6 linked regions of the Oryzias latipes genome follow. The protein of the gene in region 6 interacts with the protein of the main gene of each other region in a pairwise test. Links are inferred from orthologs where the notes say so. Each region holds a gene or a part of one and is shown on either strand. Other genes may lie near its edges.

Region 1 (4,931 bases), on a different chromosome or scaffold from region 6:
CACAAATCACCAGAGGAGGTCGACCACAGGACTTCCTTCCTGTAGGACATGACTGCTGATCAGGCAGTGTGTGTGCACGTACGCGCACACACACGGATGAAGACTCGATGTGTGAACTGGACACATTCCATCTTTCACCAAGCAAGACAGAGCTGCTGACGCTCAAGGGAGCACAAGGAATACCAATGAAGGAAACCTGTCTGTGGCATCTGCGGCTGCCTCGTGTCAATGACACTATCGTTTCACCAGCCGAAATTCAATAATGATTCATAATCCAGCATTTCCATTTAGTGCATTTTTTTGGGTATTTCCTATCAAGATTCTAAAACAAAAAGCAAAAACACTGGCGAGTGTTGGCTACTTAGATGCATTCCGTCTTCCTTTATCATGGTATATTTTTCTGTCTCCTGTCCATGAGACCCTGTGTACACAAGGCACAAAGGTGGGGAATGCTCCTGCGTACACGTCTGTGTCACATGACGTAAAATCCCACTGACAGGATGCCAGAAGAATACAGTCATGAGGTTTTTAAACAGGTTGCAGATCTGCAGGACACGCCTCAGAGCTGCGTTTGCTCAGATAAAGGTGGAAGCCGGGCGGCTCTCGTACAGGTTTGACCGTGTGAATCCTGAAAACAGGAAATGCGGCCTTCCCAAAGCAAACTTCTGTTCGTACGAGCACCTCAGAGGTTTCAATTATGGCGGATTTGCTGGGTTATACGACTATGTGGAAGTAACTCAATACACTAAAATCCCTGCGAAGCAGCAATAAAACCACAAAGTTAAGACTTTAAGAAATGACCCTGCATCATCATAAAAGAAACAAAGACAGACGCAGCAACTAGACTTGCTCTTATCAATATGAAACCGGTTTCTAAAAACAAGACTAATCTAAAAAGGAAATCAATAACAAGCGAGGGTGTAGCATACTTTCTGGCAGATAAAGCTTGGGTGACATTTGTCAGGTTTGACAAAACTGCTCAGCAGTTATTGTATGCTAAAGTGCCCCCCCACCCCCCAAGCCGCAAAGAGTCTTGTTGGCAGGTACTTTTAATATTCCTAACAACTTCCAGCACTGCTGCCAGCATCATTCAGCACCTGACCTTAGAGCAGATCTGCAGAGGGGTTTATTGCAGCAAGACATTGACCGCAATGCACAACCCAATGACAAGCCCAGAAGAGAAAACTACTGTGCATTTTCAATATTCAAATATGTATGAAAAACAACATGTGCCCTTAATAACTATGCCCTTTCAATAAAAAAATCTAGGATTGTGGTGTTGTTTTACAGGCAAAAATTATTCTGTTTAACCAACCCTGGTTTATTTTTAAGGACCCACTCAGATGATGTTTTTGGTGTTTTTAGCATGTTCTTGTAGCCTCTCTCATACGTTGGAGGACACATGTGTTAGGAAAGTTAAGTTTAAAATTGCATTACTGAACATCTATTCAAATTGTTGTGAATGCGGAGAGGATGCAAAAATGCGGTTTAAAAAAAGCCTGTAGATTTGATGTAGACCACAAGCTCCCCGCTCTGCTCCATTCTGATGCATCCACTTGCAGACAATTAGATCCAGATATGTCTTTGTTTTCCACGTCTGAGCTGGCATCTGGCTCCAAACTGTGCGACTGGATAGCTCCTATATTACTTGCCATTTTTGTTTCACCGCCAATGTTAGGTTGGGGGTTTTTGCTTGCAGGAAAGTGTGTAAACAAATGGATGACGGGAAGGGAGGGTGGACTTACTCTGCTTCAACAGTCTCGCCCACAACTCAGAGGTAAATTAACTACTGCTGTTCCGCAAAACTTTTTTAAATTTAGGCTAAAAACAGCATAATCATACGTAAAAATCCGCTGGGAGCACTTTAAAAATAGATCAAAAGATGATCGAAGTGAGACTTTTAAGTAAATGCACATTACAAATAAAAATATTGTAGTTAAAAATCTGTCTTCTCTGGGATTTGCAAAAATTGTTAATGTAAAGTGCCAGCATGAGAATGGTGGCATGGAAAAAGAAGGGAAAAAAAAGGAGGGATGGGTTGATTAAGATTAGTGTTTTAAAGAAAAAGAAAAAAGTCATTACATCCATCAAAAGCCAAAAATTAAAAATTAAAAGCCGCAAATGGTGTACTTCAGAGGATTATGAGAGAAGGTGGGACTTCCACCAAAAAAATCAAAAGATAAAAAATCTGCTGAAGGCTAAATGTCTTACGCAATAAAGCAGATTCTGTCACTTTCTGACGCCATGGGAATGGAACTACAGACCTCCGCCGCAGTCACACCTGAAGAAGGGGACGACTCCTTCCGCTTAGCTCATCACATTTGGTGACTGGCCCGTTTTGCTTTGCTTTTTTAATGTATTTTAAAGCTTAAGCTAGTCAGCTGGGTTCTAAGCCATGTGTCTGGGTTGGCACATTCTTTTTGGTGGCACACTTCCCGAAAACATGAAGGCTGAGTCACGTTATATATTAATGTCAACGGAAAAAAAGGAGAGGAAAAACGGGGGGAAATGTCGCAGATGGATTTTTAACTGCTTTAACACCCCGATAAGTCAAACACGACTCAATCAATGCTAGGCTACTGTTAGCATAAATTCTGGATGACTTAGTTAGGTGGGTCGAGCTCTAGACTTAAATGTGACCAAGCATTTATCACGCCAGGAATGAAACTACGTTTCCCATGTGTCCTCTCTAATCAATAAAAAGGTTTAAACGCACTCGCGGACGCGCTGGCTGTCAAAACAAACTAGCCTGTAAATCTCAAATGCCTCAACTGTGTGCGCATAAACATGTAGGAGATTGAACCGCAGGCCACAAACACATCCCGGTTGAACACTATCCCCTGTTCCCGGGACAGGAAACGTTTTGCAAGTTAGCAATGTTAGCTAGTTTTTGTTAGCAAGCTATCGTTCAGAAATCAATTTTATTGATGAAATATAAAACAATACTTACGGTGCATTTTCTACCAAGGTAGTTGAAAAGGCAGTCGTTTTCCTGACTGGTCAGGAGAATTGAACCCGCATTAATGGGCCGCCGTGGCTGTGAAAGTCCACTCATCGTGAGAGATCAATTGATTAACTAAGTATGCACTGAGTTTACTCGTTAAATACGAGACCCCAAAAGACACATAAACAATTCCTCTCGGTCATGGGTGGCCTTCGTCCTCCGGACCCCTCGCACCGGTTGGGATTGGTCCTGCGTTTCCGCAAAGCGACGTTGCCAAAGATGGTTGCTGGTTAGGAATGTAAAGCAAAGTCCCGTAGCTCCTCCAAATAAGATCAAATTGGGAACAACCGAGAGAAGGCGGAACACTGCAGAAACTTTCTTGGGCAGTCAAGCCGTCAGAGAGCCCTAAACCAGCTCCATCCAACATGGCAGTTAGGACGACTCCATTGTTCTTGAAAAGGGGGGAACGTTCACCTAACGCGTCCCAAATAGACCTTGAAAAATATTTTAAACATAAAAATAATACTTAAAACAATTATTTAAAGATCTATAGCGTATACATTTATTTCAATGGGAATTCCATTTATTATTTATTGCCAAAGAAATCTATTGTTTTTGCTTGTTATCCGTAAAGATGGTACAATCCAATCTGCCCCTGGCTTTTATGACAGGAATGTGAGTACTGGGAATGGGAGGCAGTAAGGAATAAGGTTCAGTCAGCAAAGATAAGATTTTTTTTTCCGTATGAGCAGCTACTGGATTAGGGATTATCAGGAAACTAATCCCACATTTTAAATGAACTCTTTGGGATTTAATAGGCATTCGCTAAGAACCAAAAAGGTTACCATTTTCTTTTAAAGATAACAAAACTCCTAAAAGTCATAGGTCAAGTTAGGTTTTAGATTCATTTCTAAAAGGTTATTAACATTCATTTAAAATAGAAGACCTTCCTGAACTGTGCCACACAGCTAGACTGAACTGGTAAATAAAGCAAGGGAAAATTAAATGCGCTCCATTTCTTTAACATCACCTAAGGGTTCAAGCTGACATGTGCGCAAAAATAACTTAATATTTTTAGTAAGGCTCTTTTTTATTTATTATTTTCTGAACAGTTTTCTATTTTACAAATCAAAGCATACTCTGGGCATAAGAAATTAAAGTGAAGATGTGATAAGAAACAACAAATATTTGTCAGATATGTAGTAAAAAATTAGAAAATAAAAAAAAAAGATGATTACTTAAGCAGATAATTGGGTGCAGCAAAACGTGGATTTGAACAATAGCTCTCCTGCCTGCCTGGCGTACTACATTTTTTTCAAGCTCAATCGCTTTAGGGAGATTACCCCCACTTTGCCATATGCTCAGTCAAACAGGTTGTTCTACTAACACAAATAAATTCTTCTGTTTTGTGTCACACTTTACCACGCGTCGATCCTTTTATCACAGAAATTCTAATTAAAGATAGCTTGAAAAAGTAGAAATAGCTATTATTAGCTCAAATAAGTTTATGTAACCACCACCTCAAAGTCACACTTCTTGATGTGTTTCTTTCTATGTAAGAATATGTAGGAGTATGTTGAAAAACTAGCTCATTTGAAATCCTTTTAGTACTGATTTGCAGGCTTTTATCATTTGACGTAAGCACAGGCTCCTCATTTGCCTATTTTGATAAAGCTCAAGCAAAAAAAAGGTAATTTTTCAAACCCTTCTTTATTTAAATCAATTTTCTTAAAAGCTCACAAAATTAGAATAAAAAAATGCAAAACACCTGATTATTTGTCACGAAATCTTATTAAAACTGGCAGTCATTTTTGTAAAACTTCTAACTATGAAACTGCTTTCTGCGTGTCTGCTCCTGTCTGCAGTGTTACACAATGGCGCGGTTATATTCCAGCTGAAACTGCACGATGACTTTGTCTCACTCTTAAGTTCTGGGTGGGACGGAGTGAGAGCACGTCTGTTTGCAGCTCCTGCCTGTGTATATGTA
Region 2 (3,336 bases), on a different chromosome or scaffold from region 6:
AGAAGTCAAAAAGAAGGCTTGGAGCTTTGTCTGGATTTGTACAACATAGATCTAAAAAACTAAAGTCAACATTTGGGTCAAAAATGTAACATGATTATTTTTTAAATCAGTTACTTGCTAAATAAATAAGATCATATATCGTTTCTATTAAGAAGAATAGTTTTTGTGAAGATGCACCAAAATATCAGCATAGAAAGACATTTGGCAGAATACAAACATGGAGGCTGCAGTATTTGATCAACTGTCATATGCAGCCGCGCTTTGCCTTGTGTAAAAGACTCACTCATGTAAGAAAAAAAACCCAGCTTTATTTTTTTTTTTGGGGGGGGGGTCGCTGCTCCGTTCCACTCCGATTCATGCACTTGCAGACAAATAGATCCATAAACATCTTTGTTTTCCTCGTCTGAGCTGGAATCTGGTTCGACACTTTACGTCTCGCCATTTTTGCTGAACCAGTAATGTTAGACTGGGGTTGTGAGGGGCTGTAAGCTAGTGGGGGAGCACGTAAACAGATGGGGGATGGAACATGGAGGCGGGCTTGCTTCTTGCCAATGGTCCCGCCCACAACTCAGTCAAATTTCTGATGATTACCTGCCGCTCTGCAGAAACTACGTCCTAGAAAACCACACAGGTTTGTGACTTTGGCTAAAAATTGCATCATCAGATTTAAAAGACCACTGGGAACACTTTTTACACAAGATGATCAGAGTGGGACTTTAAGAAGAGAAAACAGACTTCCTGCCAATGGCAGCACTACAAATAAGTGAACACATGACAGACACCCAGATAAACTGCACGAAAAGCAATGACATGGATGCAAAGCATCAACGGGGAAAGCAACAAAGTTTCTTACTTCTGGATTTTTCAAGTCTAGTTTGGTTTCCAGTAGAAGAACTCTGCCCATCAGGTTTTCCCAGCTCTCTCGAGGTATTGTGATAACTTCTTTGTCCCCCTGTAATTCAGCCATGTGCAAGATGGCCCAAACTAAACATGAGGTTAAATGTACAGTTCGTCATTTTCTTTTCAATTTAGTCAATACTAGTTTACCTTGTCGGTGCTTTTCCAGTTTTCAAGTTCCTCCAGACGTTTCTCCAGAATGTCCAGCTTGTTGAACCGAGATAAAATCTGATTCACTTGAACCTCCAACGCTGAGAGTCTGCTCTCCATCCCCGATAACTGAATGACATGAATACTATAAATACTAGTAATTGATAAAGACATGTACAATCTAGAGTTTGATGCTTAGTCCACTGATATTTAAATCAAATCTGTTTTTTTTTTTAAATAGCACTTTTCATATCTGATAACAAAAAGTGCTGTACACTAGAATAAACAATAAGAAAAAAGTTAGTTTATTCAAAAAAATAGATCCCCTCTCCATTACACAATATCTCCACACCCCTACAACCCTTCATCTCATGGTGATCAACATTGCCAAATAAATAAATGAACAAACGAACGAAAGAAAGACAGCAAAAAGTCAAGTTAAAGAGATGGGTCTTAGGCCTACATCCAAAGTGGGGGACTCCAGGTAAAAAGCGCCGGTGTGACAGCATGTCCTCCAGATATCCTACCTCTAAATACCTGGATCAGGTGTGTCCAGCCAAAAGGAACATGCCAGGTATGTGGAATTCAGCCCTTTGGTCTGCATGCTTTCATGGTGTAAAGCCAAACAGCATTGCTGTCAGTAATGCTGGTAAATGGAAATGGCTTCGGCCCTGTCAGCTTAATGTGTAAACAAAGATGGGGAGTTCATGTTTTATCCAGTAGATAAACCAAGCCAGGAAATCCTGTTTGGAAACGAAGACAGGAATAAAAGCGTCTTCCTTCCTATGATGCTTCCACAGCCGTCAACATAAGAACCGGGTGGGAAACCCTGGAGCTTTCATAAGATGGGATAAAGGTCACCGCATAATCAGTCTGTGGACAGAAGTACGACAACATTGGAAAGCTGTGTCTGATCAGTGGAAACGAGGAGGACACGCCCCCAACCAGCGCTATTGAAAAAAAAATCTTAATCTAAATCTAAAATGTAGCTTTGAACCGAACTTAAAACAGCGACCTCTTCTTTACTCAAGATACTGAAGTTGGTCCATGACATCATCTCCAGCATAGCTTAGCCCATTTGTTCATTCACAGGCGTTTCAGCACCCATCAGCTTTGGAACACTTCAGAGTCTTGCTATTAGCTTTAATTTGGTTCAAAAATCATGTTTTAATCTAAAATCTAACCCAGCAGGCTTTTGTTAAAAGATGCATAAATACATTTAGCTACTTTGCTGCAACACATGAAATTGACTTCTTGTAGATTTGACATCTGTCAGTTCTAGCTGAAGTTCAGGGAATAAAAACATCTGCTCTCTCCAGTACTAGAAAAACAGCTTATCGACAACAATAAAAGTGTGAATGGTGACAGCTAAAACTTCCACGGAGTATTCTACTTTTTTGCCTTTCAACTGCTCTGGGGTCCCCACATCTCATCTAACCTTTTCCTTCACACAAACCCCTCTGTTGTTCTCCTCCTCTTCATCCATGAACCTCCTCTGGTTGGTCTTCATCTAGGCCTCTTTTCTGGTAGCTCCAACCTCCGAATCGTTTTATAAACATTGTCACGGTACATTCCTGTCATGTGTCCAAACTATCTCAATCTGGCTTCTCTGCATTCATCTCCAAAACTTCTACTAGAAGCTGTTTTAGCATCACCTGTTGAATTAAAGGTTAAACCAACAATGGGTTTCAAGCACAGCTGTGACTGAAGGTCACGCTACCTCAAGCAGTTCAGACCATTGACTGTGAATGAGAACTGGACTGAGGGTCCCCTCCCCCCTCACGGTCCAAACAGGAAGTACCCGCTGGCTCCAAGAGGCTAATTTCCCTATAGAGAAACAAACAGCTATTCCTCCATTGGTCAGAAGACATTTTTCTCTGAGAGCCTTTTTAACATCTTGCTAATCCTGTGGGGCCTCTGAACCATATAGATACAGAAAAGATGACCTAGACCAACTCAAACTGACACTGAATCTGGAAAACAATGTTTGTTATGGATGAGATCCCCTTTATTTTTAGGAAATACTTACACAAACAGTGCCATCACTGGGCTCCTCTGCTATTGGTACATTTGTGATCTCATTTGTAGAAGAAATGAAGGAATCCACGTCAGCATGAGGAGGACAGGACGGAAACTCTTCTGCACTGGAGGCGATTGCAGTGATAGAGGACGGAGTTTTAGCCAGATTTACAATAAACGGCTCCCTGAAGATCTAAAAAAAAAAAAAAAATGTTGATCTTTTGTTTTAATTTTGACATCATCATTTGGAATTTTCAAAAGGTAGGGAAG
Region 3 (5,192 bases), on a different chromosome or scaffold from region 6:
TTTTGGTGTATCTGTAGAGGGATAAAAACAGATTTTAGAGGGGGGGGGGCTGCATTTTCAATCCAACTTCTTTACATAACTTTGTAGGGTGAGAAGGCGTAGTGGGAGGAGCCACAACAGCAGCTACAACCTTAAGCAATGCGGTTCGCATTCAGGCAGCGCCACAAGATACAAAAAGCGGAAACTCATACCTTGATTAGTAGACATGTTTACTAGCAGACCTTCAACCTGGATGTGCTGAACTTTTAAGACCCACTCCACTGAAAATAGTGTTTTTAATACGTTCTATCGGAGGTTTTCTGATGGAGGACATTACATAAATTAAGCTATTCAAACCTTGTGAATAAAGACAGGATTAAAAAAACCTGTTTCCTCGTCTGAGCTGGCATCTGGCTAAAAACTGTACCACTAGATAGCTTCAATATTGCTCAACATTTTTGTTGCACTGCTAATGTTAGCTTGGGGCTGTGAGGGACTTTAAGCTAGGGGGAGAACACGTAAACGGGGAGCTCTCAGTAATGGGGGGGGGGGGGGTTGCTCTGCATTAGCAATAGTCATATTTAAAAGACCAGTGAGAATGCTTTGAAAATAGATCAAAAGATGATCAAAGTGGGACTTTAACCACACCAGACACATTTGTGCCTGACCCCAAAAGCTACTTAGCAGGACACGTCAAATTGAACCACTTTTTCACTGTCATGCATACAGTTCATTTCCCGTCAAACTCGTCACATTCAGAACGTCTGAAGAAAATCAGATCAAATCTGAAGCTGGGGTACAAAAGGGAGACTGAATCTGACCGAGTACACTGGTTGTGTGCACACAGATTAGTGCAACAGTTAGATCTTTGCCAAGGTGAGAAAGAGATACCAGTCAAGATGCAGCACTAGGCTTACCCTACAGCATGGCATACTTTGCCGTCCACTCCTGAGCTAGTTTATTGTACCTAACAAAGTGAAATCCACGCACATGGATCAACCAAAAAAGGTGGGATCAGGGTCTTGTCACATGCAAAAGGACGGCTTTTACTCACTTCTGACCATCTGTTTTGTAGATCCGTGCAATCTCTGGCACTAATGGGTCATCGGGGTTTGGGTCACATAGGAGTGAGCAAATGGAGAGAAGAACTACAAGAGAAAAGTTTACGGAAACTCAGTTTGACATCGGAAGGCAAACTTCTTCCACAACATTAAAAGACATTAGTTAATTATTAAACGTCAAACTACAGCTTCCTACCTTTAGAAATAGTAAGTGCAGGAGACCACTGTGATCTGAGAATATCCAGACAGATACTGCCATTACTGTTAATATTTGGGTGGTAAATTCTTGTTGTGAATGCCACCTGAGGGAGAGACGCAACAAAAATCTGAGTTATGCAACGCAGATCCTGCGACAGAACAGGCTGGACCGGCAGATGATGTAAACAGGAAAAAAAAAGAATTACAGTTTCACTTTGTTCCGAAATCAAACGCTTTGTCTAAATCAAAAGGCAGCACCACATCCTGTCTTAACTCATTACTATGGAAACGCACAGAAGACACCCGTCATAGCAGCTCACCTTTGGGGGTTTGAAGGGGTAGTCTGTTGGAAAATGAATTGTCAGGAAGAAAACACCTCCCTGATATGGACTGTCACTCTGCAAGGAGAAGTTTAAACCGAGTTAAGGACTGACAGATCCAAGCATAAACATTTGCCGTTATATGAAGAAAGTGAGACCCCCCCCCCCACCACCATAACATGACGGGAAGGTCAAAATGTACTCACAGGTCCCATGATGGTAGCCTGCCAGTGAAACACTGCAAGGACAAAAATGAAGCATTATAAAGAAGCTTACAGGTCACTGTGACTGTCACAGCCTGCCAGGAACGCTGTTTCCTGTTCACGGCATCCACTAACATATGTGGTTTTCAGATTTACATCAGTGTGTTCGGATCACTTACTGTCATCTCCCACCGGGCCAGCAGAGCACTGAGCTGGGGGGTCACGAGCCAGGTCATTCAGTTCCTGTCAGGAGAGGAGCTTCAGTCAGTCATGAAGATACTAGAGTCTGACGAACGTCAACATCTCCAAACACCGAGTATGTGAGGAACAACGTCCTCCCTGGTTAAGGTTACCCCCATACCCCCTCCCCCGGACGGGCCCGCACAGCCCAGTTTTTATATCCACAGCAAACATACAGCCCGTCCATATAATGTTTATTTTTAGGTGACCGTCTATTTTGGAGCGGATGAGCCGGGCCCCACCCCGGCCTTTCCTCATAGAGGCTTCCAGACACCGGCAAGTTGCGGGCGGCCTGCCGGTTTCCGGGGCTGCCCGGTTCCCATCCGGGCCGGAGTTAACTCAGCCGGGCGCGCACACGCGCGACGAGGCTAATCGTGACGTGGGCCCTGGCCGGCTTGGTCAGGTGTGAATCACGGAGAACCGAACGCAAAAACAACGACCGAGACCGGTCGGCCCTGACAGACGTCAGCCCCAACAGAGAGGTTAGGTCGAAAATCGAAACTGCTAATGATTTAATGATAGCTGGCTGGCTGGCGAGCTGCGCGTCAGCCGGTTGTAACACATTTCTGACACACAAGTATCTGGACTGAAAACTATAACCGCCATCAAGCCGAGCAGAGCTCCACACCTGAACCTCGAAGCGACACTTCCTCGTTAGCCTTGACGGAGAATAGTTAGGGAGGCTAGCATGGAAAGCTAACACCGTTAGCACGCAGTTCCGCCGTTCTCTTACCTTGTGGATCCTTTTAAGGGCCATCCTCCCTCCGTGTTTGGGGTTTTCGTATTGTTGATACAGAAAGTGAGCACAAAGGCGGGCTGTGATGTTCCAGGATGACCGCTTCGATTAGATAATTCACGCTGGCTCAGCTCCACGGCCTGTCTGCTTAAGCTAGCTGATATGATAGCAGGTTAAAACTACGTATGCGGCCAAGACTTCACGAAAACTGGCTACGTTCCTCAGGAACTCCTTTCTTTTGGTTCGGTTCTGAAATATCCGTGTCCCCTCGGGAATTGACTAATTGCGAACGCCAGGTGGATAACCCCGGCCTGATATAATTGCCCCTCTTCAGGTTTCGGTCGATGCTGTTAGCTAACTAGCCGCTGTCCACATACAGATGAAGCTTTATGCCGTGAGGGCGGAGCCAGAATCCTGTGAGGGCGGAGTCAGTCAGTGGGAATGCGCCGTCATCCTGCTGTGAGGGCGTGGTCAGTTCGCCATGAGCGTGAATGAGAAAGCAGAATGAGAAATTATTGTCAACAATTTTATAACTTCCTGTTCATCCCTGCAGTTTTTTACACAAGACTTTTCTCACCTTTGTGTACAGAAATATAGAGTTTAAAATTTATATTTTTAGTGATTTATTGTTAACTATGTAGTTTCTAAAAGCAGCTGTTAAATAAAACTGATTATTAATAAATTAATTCCATTATTTTAACTGGATGACACTATAATCAGAACATCAAATTTTAAAATAAAGGGGCGGAGTCAAAATGGTTACGTCCTTCCTTATTGTAATGAGGATTGTGTGCTTCAGTGTGTTGTTTCATTTTGTGACTTTTCATCCGTTTGTCCCAGACAAATGCTCACCTGCATAAGTTCTCATTACTTCTTCAGGTCTTGCTTTTTTTATATTAGTTCCACTTGTAAATTTTCCTAGAAGTCCTAAATACACTTGGAAGATGAATTCTTACTTTTTCAGCTAAACTCCATGTCAGGAATGACATTCCAGAGTTTACTCTGAAAATATTCTTGAGCGTGAAAACTGTCACCTCTTTTGCTTTAGCAACATATTTCCAGATTAGTTGGGTAGAAACATTTGAACTTTGAAACATGCAGAGTAGAAAATGTCATTCTTTACTGTCCATTTCTGATCAGTTTACACATCATTCTCTTCTAAATATGAGCATCCAATTACAAAAGAGTCACCTATTTGGCTATAATTTTCTTCTGTGACACTACAAATTCAGATCTTTTCTATGGTTGTTTTTTATGGCTTTACCTCTTTCGTCTTCTAGATTTTTTCCATCCTGATTGTCATGTTCAACTTTTTTTCACCATGGATGTTTCAGAAATTGAAATGTGATTCAATAAACCTGGAAAGCTGAGTAGAGGAGGAGCATATGTGGGAAATCAGTCATTCAATTCCTTCAGATCTGTGCTGAAAAATACAAAAAATGTTGATGTGTTCAGATGCAGACCTAGATAATTTTATCTTTACTCTTTCTCTAATATCTTGGTCGTATATCTTTCAATTTCTGCTAGAAAAATTCACCTGCAGCCACTGTGTGTTATGTTTTAATAGGTTAAAAAAATAAACTTGTGGAAAAACATGAATAGTAGGTATGCTGTGTGGCACGTCAAATTAATTACCAAACACTCTATGTAAAATGACGTTGCTTTAAAATATGTTGTTTGTATAAAAAAGCAAATAAATGGCAATGATCTCCAACCGTCTTTATAGAACCCAGCATGGAGAGCATAAAAGCTCCTATCAAACAGTCTTTGAGACCAGACACCCATCTGGAAACATCTCCAGCATGTCCCAAATGAATTTGCTTGAAATTTGAATGTTTGTGTTTCTCGCAGCCGGTGGTGACGCAGAGACAAACAGGAACTGGCAGTTCCAGGAAACCGTAGCCAGTATTTCTGTCCTCAACTGTTTGTTGTTGGACTGAACGTCAAACTAAACTTCATCAAGCTTCTCTCCAGACATTTAGGCAGAAGCCCAGCTGGAGACTCAAGTAAAACAAAAATAAAGGCCCACAACAGAAAGAAAAGACTTTAATTTCACCTACCTTTTAACTTCTGGGTTGTTTCTGGTGCCAAACACAGCTGAGAAGGTCTGTAAAACCACACAGGATGTTTCTGAAATGATGTTTAAGGTTCTGTTGGTTTCCACCTGCAGCTCTGTTCAACTAGTTAACAAGCCAGGAGGCACACCAGATGATAAAAAATGACGTAAACATCGGGTTTTATCAGTTTTCACTGCATTTTAAGAACATTGCTAAATACAATTTCTACTGCATCATAAGAAAATTGTCAAACAAACAGAAAAATGTCACATTAATGGTGTGACGGAGGCTCCAAACCCCCAAACGTTATACTGTAGATCCAGACAGCTCCTCAGCATCAAATATGAAGAAAAGGTGAGTTTAAAAAGTCAATTTCAAGTATACGTCTTCTGAAAACA
Region 4 (5,044 bases), on a different chromosome or scaffold from region 6:
TATTTGCAGTCAACAGCGTCAAACCACACAACCCTGTCCCTGGAATACGTTCATTCATAGCAACCACTACTTCCTGCCCCCCCTGCTTTGGCCCTGTACAGCGATCCGTCTGGTTAATGCCCTCTCCTAAATGAGCTTTGATCTCGTTAGCGCGACACAAAGCCGCTTTACTGCCAACGATAGGACAAATCGGCTCTACGAATCAGGGAGAGCGCTGCGCAGAGGGTTGACACTGTACTCCCGCCACATCCGAGTGGACCGGGGCACTGCCCCGAGGAGACGCATCAATACAGCCTATTGGGGGGGGTTAAAAAAAATAATAGAAATAATGGGCGGAAATAAAGATGAAATTAAAGCATGAGAGGAGAGCCATGCGGAGGAGAGGGGGCACAGATTTGAGCAGAGGGAGGCGGACGGAAAAATGAGGAGAGAATGAAAGATGGGGGGGGGGGGGGGGGTTGCTGATACAAAAAGGGGTGGAGAGGTGGGGGTGCTTCGTGCAAAACCACGAGTCAATTAGCAATCTGGAAATACGCCTGGGGGGTGAGATGGGGGACAAATCAGAGGACATGTGAGAGTGGAAGCAAGGATGAAAAATAAAGGGGGGGGGGGTGCTGTTTGTGTGAGATGGGAGAGCGTAACAAAGAGAAGAGGCGGCTCTCATTTATCATTACTGTGCTGATTTACAGTCAGTCTGGAAGGTCAGGAGCGTGCCCGCTCCCTCAGTGGGAGTCCACCCCCCCACCCCCCAGGACTTATCCAACCTTCAGCTTGAGTGGAACTCCAGAGCCAGATTTACCGTCTTAAAGCCTCAATGTCGTTTTCTTTTATGCGTAAAGTGTTAGTGAGCCTTTCATCTCCTGACTGTCTCACCCAGCACATCTCCTCTCTAAGCGCCATCCGTCACTTTCCTTTCATCCAACATCCTGACAGATGCTAACAGCTCCCGTTTCTACCCCTCTCCCTGCATCATCCACCCTTTATTCACCCCCTAAAAAACACCTACCCTCTCCTGTTTCTACCCTTTTTTGCTCCGGCAATCCATCTACGTCTACATTCGAGCCACTTTTGATGCCATGCATCGCTCTGCACTCTTAACCTTTAATTCACTTCTCTCTCATCCTGAGTTAATCCACCGATCACTCATCCTCGCCTACCTTTCATTTACCAGTTTACCCATCCTCCATGGCTGCAGCTGGCGTAACTCGTGTGCCATCCCATAAAAAGTGCACAGCGATCGATTTGATCGCATCATCTGCGCCGTCCTCTGAACCTTTCAGCTTTACAGCACTCCTCTGTCTTTGCAAGCAGGTCCTTCCTTCTTTTTTTTTTTTTTTAAACCAATTCCCCTGGACTCCTGCCATGCTCACCTGCCCTTCAACCACTCTCTGCGCTCTTATCGCTGGGCTAAAACACCAGACGCTAGCTGAATTTTTTCATGGTACGAGTAGATTTAGAGGCCCTTCAAAGCATATGCGTGTAGGCGTATGAATTATGTTTGTGGGTGAATGCCATGGAGTGGAAGAAATAGCAACAGATCCTGGAAGGACAAGTAAGAGTGTCTAAGCAGCCCCGTGGTGTACTGTATTACAGTAGACCGGTTCCAGAGGGGGACCGGCTGCTGATGCTTTGCTGCCTCAGCTGTCGAGTCATGAAAGCAGGGAAGACCGGTGTACAGAAAGCCCCCACCCCCCACCCCCCCTGTTCCTTCAGCCTCCAGCAGAAAGGCTCTGTTCTTTGTCTTTCTCTGCGGTGACCCCTCCCCCAATCCCTGTCTGCCTCTCTTTTAACACCTAGCCACAAGGAAAAGGGATGGGGGGGGGGGGGGGCATGGAGCAATTAATGGCACATGCCATGTGTGGAACAATTTGGGGTGGCTCTGTAAAAATGATCTCCAGCGGGTTCTTCCATAGAAATGTGCAAAAGCTGGCATCATTTGACACACAGCACTGGTTTATTTGTGTGAGACAGGCGAGATGAGCAGCTCTGATCTTTACTGCTGCTGCTGCTGCTGCCTGTTACAGCCATGGAGCCTGGATCATATTACCTTTGTCTGGGCTGGTCATGCTCCCTCAAAGCACCACGATCAGGGGATCGTTTCAAATGATCAATCAAACATTTTTCTTCCTAATTGCATTCATTTCTGTTGCTAAGACGGCGCTACTTTGTTGTTAATGGGCTTTTAAAAAAAATCGGAGACAGAGAATGCTTATTTGTTTGTGTGGCAAACAAAAAGCTGTGGATAAAACAAACAAGAGTATGACTAATGGGTCCCTAATGTTTACATTGCATTCCTACCTGTCCGATGTCTCCCACCACGCTCCCGGTGCCGTCTATCCTTGGTCTTTTGCACTCCGCTCCGGCCAGGTCGGTGAGGGCAGCGGCTGTCTGAGCGTCAGGCTCGGGGTCCCCCCGCTTCATCCCGCGGACAGCCGCCGGACCCCCGGCTGCGTTGGCGTGAGGCGCCGCGGCTGCTGTCTCAATGTCTCTTTCGCGGTCCATTATTCCCCGGTTAACGGGTAGCATTAGGGATGCAACGTCGGTCGACATTAACATTGGACGGCGGACACTCTCGCGTCTTTGTTCTGCTCACCTTTCCTCGAGCTTTTCACACCTCGGCGTTCAGCTTTTTGACAATATTGACCAGACTAACATCAATACTCGGGAACCTTGTCCTGTTTCTTGTGTAAGTTCGCGTTAGCTATGCGCGGCACACCATCATGAAGGTGTCAGGGTCCCGTCTCAACAGCAACCAAACGCCTGCGGTTCATATAAAAAGTCGAATCGACGCCAAACTACGACCTTTTTTTTCATAAAAATCCCACGTCCGAGCCTGTCGAGCTAATTAGCTAGCCAACGTATGCTAGCCTGCTAGCATTACATTCCGCTAGCTCTCCTTTTAAATGAGGCTGTGGGAGCAGAGACTCTGCCAAGAATAGAAAATGTTGGAAATGAGCTGAGCGTAATACTACTCCTCCAGCGCAGCCGCTCCTCTTTCCGCTCTCCGGTGTGGCTGTTCTGGCGTTAAACTTCTGCGTGGCTCCTTCCAGGCGTTTTCCTCCCGCTTGTCCGTTCCCTGTTCGAGGTCTGTGGATGAGTTTTGGCGAGCCGACCTGGCGAGCACGATTTCCTCTGGTCTCAGTCACAACTCCGTAGTGTGGCGGGAGTCCTGTTGCGCTGATCCGCGGTCAGATTTCACCAAGGAGACGCTGATTGGAGATGCGGGGTGTGAAGGGAGGCGGGCTGGTCTGGGGTCTGCTGTCGGTCTCCTATCCCCCCACCCATCAACCATCGCCTCCTTTCTCCTCTGTCCTCACTTCATTATTAATACGCAACGGTTTTTATTACTTTTTGTGTGTGTGTGTTTCGTTTTTGTGGTAAAACAGTATTTCAAAATAATTTTAAAATTATAAAAATATATAAACATGTTTTTTTATTTATATGTATTATTTATTTATAACAAAAACATTTTTTATCTAACGGGATTTGAACCTCCCATTTGACTAATAGGTTTAAAATTTAAAAACAAAGCTATGTATTTCACCACGGAGTTTGTATTTAATATATTTGTTCATGAAAATTCATTTCAGCGTCATTTTTTATTATTTTTTTGTAAAACTCATCTCATTCCTACTCTATACCTTGATTTATATTTTAGCATTTTTGAGTAATGTAGTTAATTATAAGCTTTCTAACCTTGAGCATCTTTTTACAAATTCAAGCAAAAAGAAAACAAATTATGCTAAATTTTGCTGTTTGTAGTTCTGATTTTTATAGACACATTAGAGCCGTTTTGTTGTGCTTTTGCGCCCCCTGGCGGATCACAAACCGCAGCGAACACAAACAGAAGCAATAACATCCTCCTCTGCTGAGGTCATCCTAGGACATTTTATAATCAAAAGCTTGAGCCAGAAATAGCAAATCATTTGTCATTTCTTAACAAGTGTAAAAAAAAGTGTTTCCCTTTAGTACTTCCCTTCATGACCTGATAGAGTAGAGACACATGTTTGGGTTGTAAAAGCTGATCGGATTTAAGATTTACAAATATTTTATGAGCTCAGACCAACAGTCCATTTGTGCGTGAGTGTCTGATAGAAAGTGCAGTGAATGAACACCCTTTTCACCCAGTGTCAGTGATTCACTCCATAAACTGTTTTGACTTTACCTCCATGGACTCTTCAATTGTCAACTGAACCTGCAATAATGAATTGCAAGGGGGGTCAGAGCACGCCGCCCGCTGCCTGTCTCAACACGGCAAGAGCAGGAAAAAATTACTCTTTGTAGTGGTAAATTGCCCTTTGAAGAGACCTCTAAAGGGATTTAAAATCCTTTCCGACTTGTCGTAAAGCTCATGTATTTCTTTGAGGGGAGTCGCTTCAGCTTTAAGACATGCTGATGATGACCTTGTTGATTTTAAATAGCCGTGGCTTTTGTGTGCACTTCAAATACATGTTTTGCCACCAACTCTGGAAATGCCGTCCCCTGGAACCATGCCATCAACAAGCACATCGTACAAGTATGCAAATTTAAAGTTTCGGTTTGAGTTTAAATGTGAAATTGATCATTATAATTTTATAATTTTGAAATACAAATTCAAACTTGATTTTTTTCGATTTCAAATTAGTGTCACAGTCTTCAGTTCTGTTTTGTTCTACCTGTTTTTGTGTGTAGGTTGGCTGTGGGTTCTGGCTCCACCTCTTCTCCTGTGGCTGTCCTTGATTGGCACACAGCTGTCTGCACCTTAGGCTCATTTGCCTGAGCTCTATTTAACTGTGTCCAATTTTGCTCTCTGTGTCGGAGTGTTGCTTGAGTTTGGGCTGTTTGTCCTGGTTCCTTCATGGAGTCATGCTAGTCTCAAGTCCTCTGTTATGTTTATGGAGTTTTTCCCCCACCTAGTGTGGTGTTTATTGGTTGTTAAAAGAACTCTGGATCTTTTTCCTTCAACCTTGGAGTCTAGTCCAGTGCATTTGGGTCATCCTGATATAATGTAAAAATTTGACCTCAAAGAGAAACAAACAAAAATTGTCCATGTACAGTGAATGAA
Region 5 (5,157 bases), on a different chromosome or scaffold from region 6:
ACCAACTTTAAAAGAAAACACTTTGCCTTAGCATGTAAACAAATAATATAAATTAGAATAAGCCACTTAAATAAATACATCAGAGGGACGGCTCATGTTGCCTGTGTTAGCGACAAAGTCAGAGAAGCCAGACTGAGATGGTTTGGACATGTTCAGAGGAGGGATAGTGGATATATTGGTAGAAGGATGTTGGAGATGGAGCTGCCTGGCAGGAGGGCAAGAGGATGGCCAAAGAGGAGATATATGGATGTCTTAACAGAGGACATGAAGTTGGCTAATGTTAGGGTAGAAGATGTTCATGATAGAGTGAGGTGGAAAACGATGATTCGCTGTGGCGACCACTGATGGGAAAAGCCGAAAGAGAAAGAAAGAATAAGCCACTAAAATCTTACCATTAGCCCAAAGAGACATATTATGTTCTTGGAATGAGTGGCCATTCATCTGCAATTTTTGAACTTCATTAAAGTTCAAAAATGTGGAAAGAGTGAAACTCTGCTGCTCTCTGCAGGAAAATCTAGGTACCTAGATATTTAGGAATCATGGTCTAACATGTGATGGTAAACATGTTAGAAAATAACAAATCACTAATACGAAATAAGAATTGGAAGAAACAAAAAAAAAATAGAAAAAAGGCACAAAAGAAACAACTCAAGGAGAAATGTATTAATGCCGGATAAAAAAATCAAACAAGTACGGGAGAGGTTTTAAAAATATGCTCATCAAGAAGTTTTTAGTGCGGCCAAAACTGCAAACCAGAGGTTTTCAAAAGACCTGAGGGCAGAACATGAAAAGTCGCAGACGGCAGCTGGATCCCAAAGCTCAAGAATCTTGAACAGAGACATTCCTGGAGGAAGAGGTTGAACATTTGAAGGAAGCTCACAAAAACCTCAGCTCCAAATCCGATGCCCAGATTTCAGCTATACCCAAAAGTAAGTGGAAATCCTATACCAAGAGCTCGAAAATCAAAGATCTCCTGCACAAGAACTTCAGTTCAAGCAGCAGATCATCAACAGCCTTAAAGAGGAGCAGGACGTTTCCCTCCACGCTGTATCCAAAGAGATCCTCCCCATGCGCGACCATTGCAGAGAGCTGTGTTTTCAGGCAGAGCTGAAAAATCAGAAGTTATTGTAAACAATTAAATTTATTAAAGTTAATTTAAATTAAACAAATTAAAAGTGTTTTAGTTCTAATTAGCAGACAGTAAAACAAAGTATGTGTGCAGCAACTTGTGCGATTGTTATTTTTAATGAGAACACCTTGCACTAAATCAAGGCATTTTCACTCTTAAAAAACTATGTGCAAAAATGCTTCCATATTTATGTCTTATGGTATATTTAATTGAAGAAGTACAGTGTTTTAGGTTCTTCATGTGTCAAAAAACATTATTTCTGCCCCCTCTGCTTCTGAAAAAAGAAATGTGTACCTTATTTGCCATGAAAAAATAACTGGAAACTGCTTCAGAAATGATTGATTACTAAGAGATGTCTCCTATAAACCTCTGCATAGAATTTATGATTGTTTTAATGGCAAGATATATTAAAGCAACTGATCCCTACTGTTTTTTCTGTAAAGAACACCCAAAAAGTATTTTTATTATTATTATTAATAATAATGATTGTTATTATTATTTTTATTAATGTAACGTACTAGGTTATTTATCATACAGTCAATACGTATGATATATGCCATCTCCTGTAACTGCGTTGATTTTGCAATTGAATAATAAAGTTAAATGGGGAAAAAAAGGTTACTTCCTGTTGGTATTATCGCGATACTACAGGCTCTCATTCGAGTACTGGAGGGATTTCTCGTTTACTTGCTGAGCAGCTGCTAGCACATTAGCAACATAACAAGAACTTATCAGTTCCCGACAGACATTTTATCGTAAATAAGCTAGTTCTGGGGTAAGTTGTTTAGTTTTTACCCGAAACTTTACAGAACCTTTTGGTACGATAAGCGAGCTAGGATCTCTTTAACCTTTGGACGTTTCCGTGTAGGTGTTTGTCTCATCATCATCATGCTACTTTAATTATCGTAACTGAAAAAACAGACAAACAAACAAAAAACTTTGAATTTTTTGATCTCGAATGTATTTTTAACATGTTTTTTTTAATATGCATTATGTTATTGTTCTCGTCGTTGAACTTGGTATGTGTTTCAATTTTAATTTATGTAAATTAAACTTTTTGTTTAAGCTTTTTATCAGTAAGTCTGGTGATTAATTGACATGTTGTTACTTTTTTGTGAATTATTTTAAGTCTTCCTGTGACAGCTGACGACTTGATCGCGTTTTTATTTATTTTTTAGTTAGATATTTGGCAAAATGGTTATAGTGTTTTGGCAACTTTTTTAAAAAGTTTTTATTAATAGATCTGCGTAATTGCAGAACAACTCCCTGGCAATACATGTCTTTAACACTCTTGGATCAAAACTGACAAACATAAGATGTATCAACTAGTTATAGCCACTTTTTAACTAACATCATGTACTACCTTAATTTGTAAATGTTTAAAGCAGTCGATTTCTTCTTTTTTATATTTTAGGATTGTTTTTCTTTTGAGTTTTTGTATAGTCTATCCATTAATCCTTTAGTACTTATGAGCAAGAACATGATCTATATGTCACATGGTGCTATAATGTGATATTTTGATGTTCTTGCTTGTGTCCTCCCAGCTCTTGTGTCTTTACTACAACACCAGTAAACCCAAAATGGACTTGGAAGATGACACAACCATTTTGAGCACCTTAAAATCTTTCAACACTTTCATCAGTCGTCCTGAGCGTCCACAGCTGCCGTCTGAGCGCTCAGCAGGCAGTGGAGTTCTTCAGAGTCAGTACAAACGCAGCATGGAGGTACAGATAAATCATTTGCTGTGAAAGCAAAATTCAGGAATTAACGACAACCATTCCATCTGACTATTTGCTTTCCCTCTGGCGCATTACTAGATTTTGGAAGCAGCAGAGAGGGTTCACTCTCAGAATCGCTTTCTGCAGTTGGACCAGGAGAAGAAACAGATGGAACTGAGCCACAAGAGAGCTCGTTTTGAGCTGGAGAAAGCGGCTTCCAACAGTGCACGAGACTTTGAGGTATAGTGCATATTCAGCCTTTTCACAGCCATATACAAATAGCATTTGATTATTTTGTGTTGTTATTTTGCAGCATGAGTTGGACAGAAACCAGGATCTTTTGGCCAGAGTTAAAAAGTTGGAAGGGAGGGAATTTGAAGCGGATAAAAACTTATCAGACCAGGTTGAGGAGAACCAAGTTCTCCGTAGGAATCTAGAGGCCGTGAACAAAAAGCTGGAGGAGCGAGACACCAAGCTGAATACGGCTAACAAGGTTCCCGCACAGACGCACACCTATCTGTCTCTTCAGGAATGTCTGTCATCTTACATTCAGTCCTTCTTGCAATCTGTTTCCAGACCATAACTTCTTTGAAAGATGAGCTCAGAGAGTTGAGGCAGAAAATTCAAAACCAAGACTTGGTGTTCTCAGCCCAAACCTTGGAAAAACAGGAGCTACAGGAACAGCTGGATCTGCAGCGCAGGTAAATCCCAACATTTATGATGGTTTTCTTCTTTTTGTTAGATTAATAAGATGTGTTATTGTGTTTTTTTTTTCAGGAAATATCAGGAAATCTCACAACTATGTCAAACTCTCCAAGCTGCCCAGTCTTTATGCTCAGAGCACATTATAAAAATAAAGGTAGCAATCACTTAAAAAATTTGTCGTAAAGATTAATATTACATTTTTCAAGTCTGGAGATGCAATAAATGCTGTTTGTTATTTTAAATCGTATCATTTGAATGAATCTAAATCAGTTTATGATGAAATGAAAGTACTGCATGCTTTGGTAGAAGGTTAAAGGAGCTTTTCTTTTTGGATTTCCCTCCGTCTGATCTTACAGGAGCTGGAGAGGCGTCTTATTCTGCAGGAACAAGACATGGCAATCGTGAAGACTATCAAGTCGGAGGCGGCGAAAGTTACAGATCTGGAAAAAGAGTTGAAGCGCCTTCGAGAAGAAAATTCTTTTCTGAGGTGGAAAAATTTATACGCTTATGATTTGTAGATGTTTAATTCATCATTTCTTTATTTTATTTTATTGTGCTCTTTTTTCTTTTCTTTTTTTGCAGATATAGCAATGTTTTATGAAAAAAAAATTAACAAAATAGACATGAGCCTGGATTACTAATGAATAATAATGAAGACAACCTCTCAACAAACAATAATTCCCCTGGGTTTTTTGGTTTGGGATTATTTCTCAGCAGGACAAAAAGATTCAGCTTTTATTTTAAGCTTGGATATCGCAGCTAAAATAACCAGTTTCTACAATGAATGCCATTCTCCTGTGGAAGTGTCAACACAATGTTTCAGTGTGAAAATGGCTGCAACAGTCACAGAAGCTAATGACAATGCTGACTGTCAATTGCCATGATAACTGATGTGAGAAAATCTAGTTTTCATTGACTGGATTTTAATAATCAGTTTTAGTTTTTTTTTTGTTTTTGTTAATATTTTCATCTAACTTTATTTTATCAGAAAATTCCACCAAATACCATTATGAAGGGAGAACAACAATCTGCTGATTTACCGCTATCATGTCTTTGTGTTTGCATGTTGCTGGGCAGATTACAGATGCTTTTCCGAATTCACTTATTTGTGGATTCTGTCAACATAGTTTCATTAATAAGTATTTTTAAAATATGTTTTTAATATTGCTAATTCACCCAAAAATATTTAAGTTAGATGTGTAAATAGAATAACATAACAAACTGGATTTTCAGCTGTTTGAATTTCTCTCTTTTAACTTCAAACTTGATTCCTTTCTGAAGATTTTTAATTATGTTAACATTTTGGTTTACTGTGGAAAACACTGCTAAGTTGCTGTGGAAGAAAAGGAGCAAAAATGTTATCCATTTATCAAATCAGTTTGATCTATAAAAAAGTTTTTTCATTCTTGAAATATCCAGTAACAGATTGATGATTGCTGAACCCTAAGCTTAGAGTGACTGTGTGGTTCTGCTGTGTTTCTATTTTGTCAGAGAGAGCAGAGAGAATTACAACCTGTTGAAAGAAGAAGCAGAAGGACTTCGTAAAAAACTGGAAAGGATGGAGAAAACCAAAGAAGAGCTCGTCAATGTGGAACTTGAAAAACA
Region 6 (5,067 bases):
GGCTGAGGACGTGAGGGCTTCATCCACCCTGGAGGTTTTTAAGAAAAAATCGTATAAATCGTCTTTTTTGCTTAGCTTTTAATTAACTCTTACATTTCCTAGTGTTTTCATTTGATTTTTATGGACTGTTTTTGTGTATTGCATAATGCGTATGTGTATTGGGGGCTTTCCTAATCACTATTTTTATTTTATGTAAAGCACTCTTAAGGTGTTTTACAACAGGAAAAATGCTCTATTTATTAATTAAATATGATGATTGTCAAATATATTTTTGATCAATTGCTTGAAAGGAAGTCGGGAGAATCAAACTTATATGATAATGATTCCTCCTCTATTACATCTTACATTGTTATATAATCTTCTGTCCTCTGAAAAAGCTGCTGTGGAGCTCTAATAACAAGTTTGTCCTGATCTTTTATTTCATTCAGATTCAGTTGCATTTATCTCCTGTATCTAGAAATATGTTGATAGACTGTGTTCATCTGAATCTGCCTTTTTTATTTATTTATGTTTTTGCAGTGACTTCAGCTCAACATGATGCTTGTGTTGGTGCGTCATCATTTTTCTTTCCCAAAACCGTTTGCAGGTACAGTCAGAACATTCTGTTGCTGCGGGAGCAGGTGGATGACACCCAGAGACGGGTAGCATCTCTGGAGGGAGAAGATCAGCAGGGTGACCCGCTGGTCCGGGAGCGGGTCCAGGAGCTGCAGAGTCAGCTGGGGACTCTCCGAGGCAAAATGCACCAGATGGAGACCTTAAAGAAGTCCTTCAGTGAACGGAGGTGGCCAGAGGTGAGGGTGGCTTCAGTCTGTTTTACAAGCAGGATGTGAAGTGAGTTTTGTGGGGATAAAGAAGCATTTTTGTGTGTGTGTTTAGCATCAGAAAACACAGCAGGAAGAGCAAATGAGAAAGCAGTTGAACGATGCCTTGCAAGAAGTAAGAAAATAAAGGAGTTTTCTTTCCGTAGACGGACAGCATTTATGAGATTATGAAGTGACATTATTGAGGATAAGTATTGTTTTTATCTATTCTCAGCAAAAGAAAGTGATCGTTGAACACGCCCTCTCTCGACAAGCCTTCGAAAAGATTCTCTCAGCCAAAAACAAAGAGCTGGAAGCCACGAAGGTCTGTTCAAAATCCTTAGTTTTATTCATCTTCTGCCCCTGAATGCCACAATAAATCACAATATATATAATTAATAATAATCACAATAAATCCTCAGGAGGAAAAGGAAAGGGCCCGTGCCCAGAAAGATGAAGTGGTTACACAAATGACTGAAGTTCTGGAGAACGAGCTTCAGTGCATCATCTGCTCAGAACTCTTCATCGAGGTGGGCTCTTATCAGATTAGCTTCACCTGCAAATGAGAACCACCGACCGTTAGAGTGACATTTTTTGGATCGTCTTATGGTCGTCTTCTGCAGGCAGTCACCCTGAACTGCGCTCACAGCTTCTGCTCCTACTGCATCACCCAGTGGCGCAAAAAGAAAGAAGAGTGTCCCATCTGCCGACAGGCCATCACGTCCCAAAGCCGCTGCCTGGCCCTGGACAACTTCATCGAGCGCATGATGGAGAACCTGAGCCTGGACGTCAAGGAGAAGAGGCAAAGCGTCATCAACGAGAGGAAAGGTGAGAGGTGCGTTTGTGATGCTCGACTGGACCGAAAAGCTTTCGAGTGTTAACCCAGAGCTGTTAAAAGACTTTTATTTTTGCTGTCTTCAGGTGAGCAGGTCTGTGAAAGCAGTGTCCAATCAGGTAAGTGGGGAAATTGGACTGATCTTTCAATGTCACATGATCAGGAGAGGAATTTGTGCGTTTCGTTCAGATTTTTGCACAAGAGGTTCGTTAGTGCTGTTAAGTGATAAATGCGCGCTCCTCGCACGGATCCTGACTGTTAGAAATGAGGAAATTAAACCGTCAGAGCGTAGTTTGTGTGGACATCTAACGGGCACTTGTGTATCATATGCACATCTCATCCGTGCAACATTTGCACACGCTCAGTAAGGAGCCAGTCCTCGATCCTTGCTAACAGCTCAGCCCCGCAATTCTGGAACTCCCTCCCCTCTGATCTACAAAATATGGACCATCTCTCTGTTTTCCAAACATCTCAAAACTCACCTTTTTGCCTTGGATTCATAATATTTAAACTGCTGATTTAACTGTTAACTTATTTTGTGTTTTGTGGCGTTTTGTTGTTATATTTTTATGATTTTACATAATTTTGTACTGTGAGGCGACCTTGAGTGTCTAGAAAGGCACCATATAAATAAAATGTATTATTATTACTAAGGACTACAGTAGGGGACAGCAACCTTTATGACGAGAAAAGCCAATTTGAAATATCCTCTTCAACAACTGTGCCATCACCAAGTGGAAAAGTGACAGTACTGATATAGGTGGGCGGGGTCACAGTAACAGCGTTGTGTGAATGGAGCCTTTCCTTATGACGCCATGAAGGAAAATAGCTCATCGTGAGAAGAGATTTGGTCAAATCCTAAAAATACAAGTGTTCATCTTACACTACATTATTCCCACAAAACACTTACCACAAGCACGACATTGGTACGTTCCATTTTCATGACGTCTCTTGAGGGGACCCTATGAGTTTTAAGGGAACTACAACCCACACCTGTACCCCCCCCTTAAGAGGCAGCCACGCCTCTCTACGACCCCCCACGGGCCCAGACAACCCAAAGACCTGCAGCACCCGTACGGGTCATGTGACTTAGGCTTTGATCATCTTTTCATCTAGTTTCAAAGAATTCCTATTGGTCTTTAATCATGACGGTCATTTTTAGCCAAATAAAAAAATAAATCTGTTGTTTTCATTAGAAATTAGAGATGTGGGAGGGACCATCAGCGCAGAGTAACCCCGCCCGCACTTTCATCTGTTAACACACTCTCCTGGTACCTTGCAGCAATATCGGAGCTACCCAGCCGTACAGTTTAGAACCAATGCCAGCTCAAAATTGATTTTCTTAGTGTATGTCCTCCCTCATGAGAAAAATGCCTCAATAACATGTTAAAAACACTACAAACATGATTTTCACCGGAGTGCATCCCAGGTAGAAACTCAAATGTATTGATCTATTCAGATGTGTTAAAGAGCACAAGTTCCTGAAACAACTTGGAAATCATTCCCTTCATTCTGTCACGAGTGGACTATCTCCTGGTTTTAGGGTTTAATGTCTAAAAATATCAACTTTTGTGACTAGAGTCCATTCAGTGACCCTTTGCTCAAAAGCAGCAGAAAGTGCTGAAGGGTCCAAACCTCAGGGAATGCTGGGAAGCTGCTGGGAGGCTTTCTAATAACATGTCATGGTGTCACCAGAGGGGATCTGCCGAGAGACCCTCCGTTACACAAGATGACAATACAATATGTTTCATCTTCTGTTCTGTTAGCCGGGCGTATTAGTGCTGCGTATGTCAGTGGAGTTTCTCCAGGAAGAAAGGGCGGCTCACTCTGCGTTTCTGTTTTCCAGCCGCCAACGCCGCAGAGGTGATGGTGATCCACGATGACGACAGCAGCAGCGACGGCAGCAGCAGCAGCACCGTCGAGAGCGATGGAAGCATGCTGTCCATTTTTAGCAGCCTCAGCTCTGTGTTCACTGTGGACACAGAAAGCAGCGACCATTTAGAGTTTGAGATCTCAGATGACCTTGAAGATTAACTCTCAATCGGAAGGCAAAAAACGGACTCGCAAAGCCCTCCAACAAGAAAAGCCCTCGGGATCTTTAGTTTACACTAAGAACACTTTGGTCTCATCATGAGGAAAACTTCCTTATGTTTTCTTTTTGTAAAGTTATTATTTGTGTAGTGTACTTGTTTTTCAGTGAAAAGATTAAAGTTTCTTCCTGATTACTTTTACCATTATCTTTACAAGTTTTCAACTCTTTCATGTTGCTTTTTTCTACGTGTTCTGGGTTGATATTTAAAATCTTCGCTTCGATTAGTAGCTTAAAGTATTCAAACACACAGACTTTGTGATTTTTCTACTAGAAATGTTCCCAACTAACAGACACAGCATGGGCGTATGGAGTGGTTTTTGTGCCATTATTCCAACTGTAACTTTCACATTTTTTAGCGTAAAACTTAAAAAAAATTGTGCTAAAAAAAAAATATTTCGCACTTGAAACAGAAAAACGAACTAGAAACTCAAAAATATGGGGGGGGGACAATTCTCAATCCAGAGCACCGTCTGACATACGTGCCACAAAAGCCAGCCAATCACAGACATCACCCTTTCACGCCCATGTCTGTGATTGGCTGGCTTTTGTGGCACATTTGGAACATAGTTTAAAGTTTCAAGTGTATTTTTCTGTTTCAATTGCAAACTATTGTTTTGAGCACACAAAACTTTTAAATTTTATGATCAAAACAGTGGCTGTTGCGCTCACAATAATGGCATTATAATCCCTCCATATGGGCATGTTTTTAATTCCACTTAATGCTTTCATTTTAACTTTAAACATAGCTTAAAAACACAGTTTTTATATTTTAGTCCTTTAACAAGATCTTTAATTTATATTTATTTTATTATAATCAAGCTGGTTCCGTTTCTAGGCTTAAAAAGTAAATAAAGAAAAAAAACATATATATATATATATTAAAGTGGTGCATTTCTGAATTTAGAAAAGTAGATTTTATTGCCAGAATGGTGGGGGGGGGGACTCATATTTTAAACCCCACTATTTACGCTAAAGTAGATTTTTCAGAACAGTTCTTGATACGAAAATGGTTAATTTTTTATGTATTCTAGCAGAAAAAATAAATCAAATTTTAAAGTTACAAAATGATACACAAACGTGAGTCCACTCACTGATTTGAGCGCACAAAGACGGCCGTCACCGTGTGAGTTTGCCTCTTGATGTCATGCCCTGCCATTAAAGCTGCAGTGCTGGGGAGGCCGTTCCTGCCCCCCCTGATATCCCATGGAGGACAGTGATGGACTGCCTCAAGGCTACAGTTGGAGCCCTTCATTACTCCGTCTGACCCAGCATCAGTTCTGCATGCGCTCATGATGCCAATAACAGGCTCAACTGCTGTGCCTGAATATGAGAAATACACA

The links.
Region 1: the proteins of rnf8 (region 6) and wasl interact in binary tests that used the Homo sapiens proteins (3 or more experiments, as listed by UniProt). The two-hybrid records come from large-scale screens. The link is inferred for Oryzias latipes from reciprocal best matches to the Homo sapiens genes RNF8 and WASL.
Region 2: the proteins of rnf8 (region 6) and cep44 interact in binary tests that used the Homo sapiens proteins (3 or more experiments, as listed by UniProt). The two-hybrid records come from large-scale screens. The link is inferred for Oryzias latipes from reciprocal best matches to the Homo sapiens genes RNF8 and CEP44.
Region 3: the proteins of rnf8 (region 6) and ubiquitin-conjugating enzyme E2 D2 interact in binary tests that used the Homo sapiens proteins (3 or more experiments, as listed by UniProt). The link is inferred for Oryzias latipes from reciprocal best matches to the Homo sapiens genes RNF8 and UBE2D2.
Region 4: the proteins of rnf8 (region 6) and RNA binding protein fox-1 homolog 2 interact in binary tests that used the Homo sapiens proteins (3 or more experiments, as listed by UniProt). The two-hybrid records come from large-scale screens. The link is inferred for Oryzias latipes from reciprocal best matches to the Homo sapiens genes RNF8 and RBFOX2.
Region 5: the proteins of rnf8 (region 6) and mad1l1 interact in binary tests that used the Homo sapiens proteins (3 or more experiments, as listed by UniProt). The two-hybrid records come from large-scale screens. The link is inferred for Oryzias latipes from reciprocal best matches to the Homo sapiens genes RNF8 and MAD1L1.

The regions. Positions count from the first base shown.
Region 1 is NC_019881.2:13,542,323-13,547,253, reverse strand, and holds the start of wasl (neural Wiskott-Aldrich syndrome protein), read right to left. Parts: upstream 3,386-4,931; 5' UTR 3,056-3,385; coding exon 2,951-3,055; intron 1-2,950. UniProt on the Homo sapiens protein: Regulates actin polymerization by stimulating the actin-nucleating activity of the Arp2/3 complex. Involved in various processes, such as mitosis and cytokinesis, via its role in the regulation of actin polymerization.
Region 2 is NC_019859.2:27,430,150-27,433,485, forward strand, and holds part of cep44 (centrosomal protein of 44 kDa), read right to left. Parts: intron 3,260-3,336; coding exon 3,077-3,259; intron 1,177-3,076; coding exon 1,048-1,176; intron 985-1,047; exon of another isoform or gene 953-984; coding exon 854-952; intron 1-853. UniProt on the Homo sapiens protein: Centriole-enriched microtubule-binding protein involved in centriole biogenesis. In collaboration with CEP295 and POC1B, is required for the centriole-to-centrosome conversion by ensuring the formation of bona fide centriole wall.
Region 3 is NC_019880.2:25,335,123-25,340,314, reverse strand, and holds the start of ubiquitin-conjugating enzyme E2 D2, read right to left. Parts: upstream 3,149-5,192; 5' UTR 2,759-3,148; coding exon 2,735-2,758; intron 2,005-2,734; coding exon 1,941-2,004; intron 1,797-1,940; coding exon 1,765-1,796; intron 1,637-1,764; coding exon 1,559-1,636; intron 1,343-1,558; coding exon 1,237-1,342; intron 1,128-1,236; coding exon 1,034-1,127; intron 947-1,033; coding exon 898-946; 3' UTR 897-897; intron 12-896; coding exon of another isoform or gene 1-11.
Region 4 is NC_019866.2:20,451,924-20,456,967, forward strand, and holds the start of RNA binding protein fox-1 homolog 2, read right to left. Parts: upstream 3,245-5,044; 5' UTR 2,557-3,244; coding exon 2,299-2,556; intron 1-2,298. UniProt on the Homo sapiens protein: RNA-binding protein that regulates alternative splicing events by binding to 5'-UGCAUGU-3' elements. Prevents binding of U2AF2 to the 3'-splice site.
Region 5 is NC_019859.2:22,955,023-22,960,179, forward strand, and holds the start of mad1l1 (mitotic spindle assembly checkpoint protein MAD1), read left to right. Parts: upstream 1-1,777; 5' UTR 1,778-1,904; intron 1,905-2,673; 5' UTR 2,674-2,709; coding exon 2,710-2,853; intron 2,854-2,946; coding exon 2,947-3,087; intron 3,088-3,160; coding exon 3,161-3,340; intron 3,341-3,423; coding exon 3,424-3,548; intron 3,549-3,624; coding exon 3,625-3,706; intron 3,707-3,908; coding exon 3,909-4,039; intron 4,040-5,043; coding exon 5,044-5,157. UniProt on the Homo sapiens protein: Component of the spindle-assembly checkpoint that prevents the onset of anaphase until all chromosomes are properly aligned at the metaphase plate.
Region 6 is NC_019882.2:5,925,670-5,930,736, reverse strand, and holds the end of rnf8 (E3 ubiquitin-protein ligase RNF8), read left to right. Parts: intron 1-586; coding exon 587-791; intron 792-876; coding exon 877-936; intron 937-1,035; coding exon 1,036-1,125; intron 1,126-1,222; coding exon 1,223-1,330; intron 1,331-1,423; coding exon 1,424-1,628; coding exon of another isoform or gene 1,629-1,635; intron 1,636-1,721; coding exon 1,722-1,754; intron 1,755-3,481; coding exon 3,482-3,669; 3' UTR 3,670-3,872; downstream 3,873-5,067. UniProt on the Homo sapiens protein: E3 ubiquitin-protein ligase that plays a key role in DNA damage signaling via 2 distinct roles: by mediating the 'Lys-63'-linked ubiquitination of histones H2A and H2AX and promoting the recruitment of DNA repair proteins at double-strand breaks (DSBs) sites, and by catalyzing 'Lys-48'-linked ubiquitination to remove target proteins from DNA damage sites.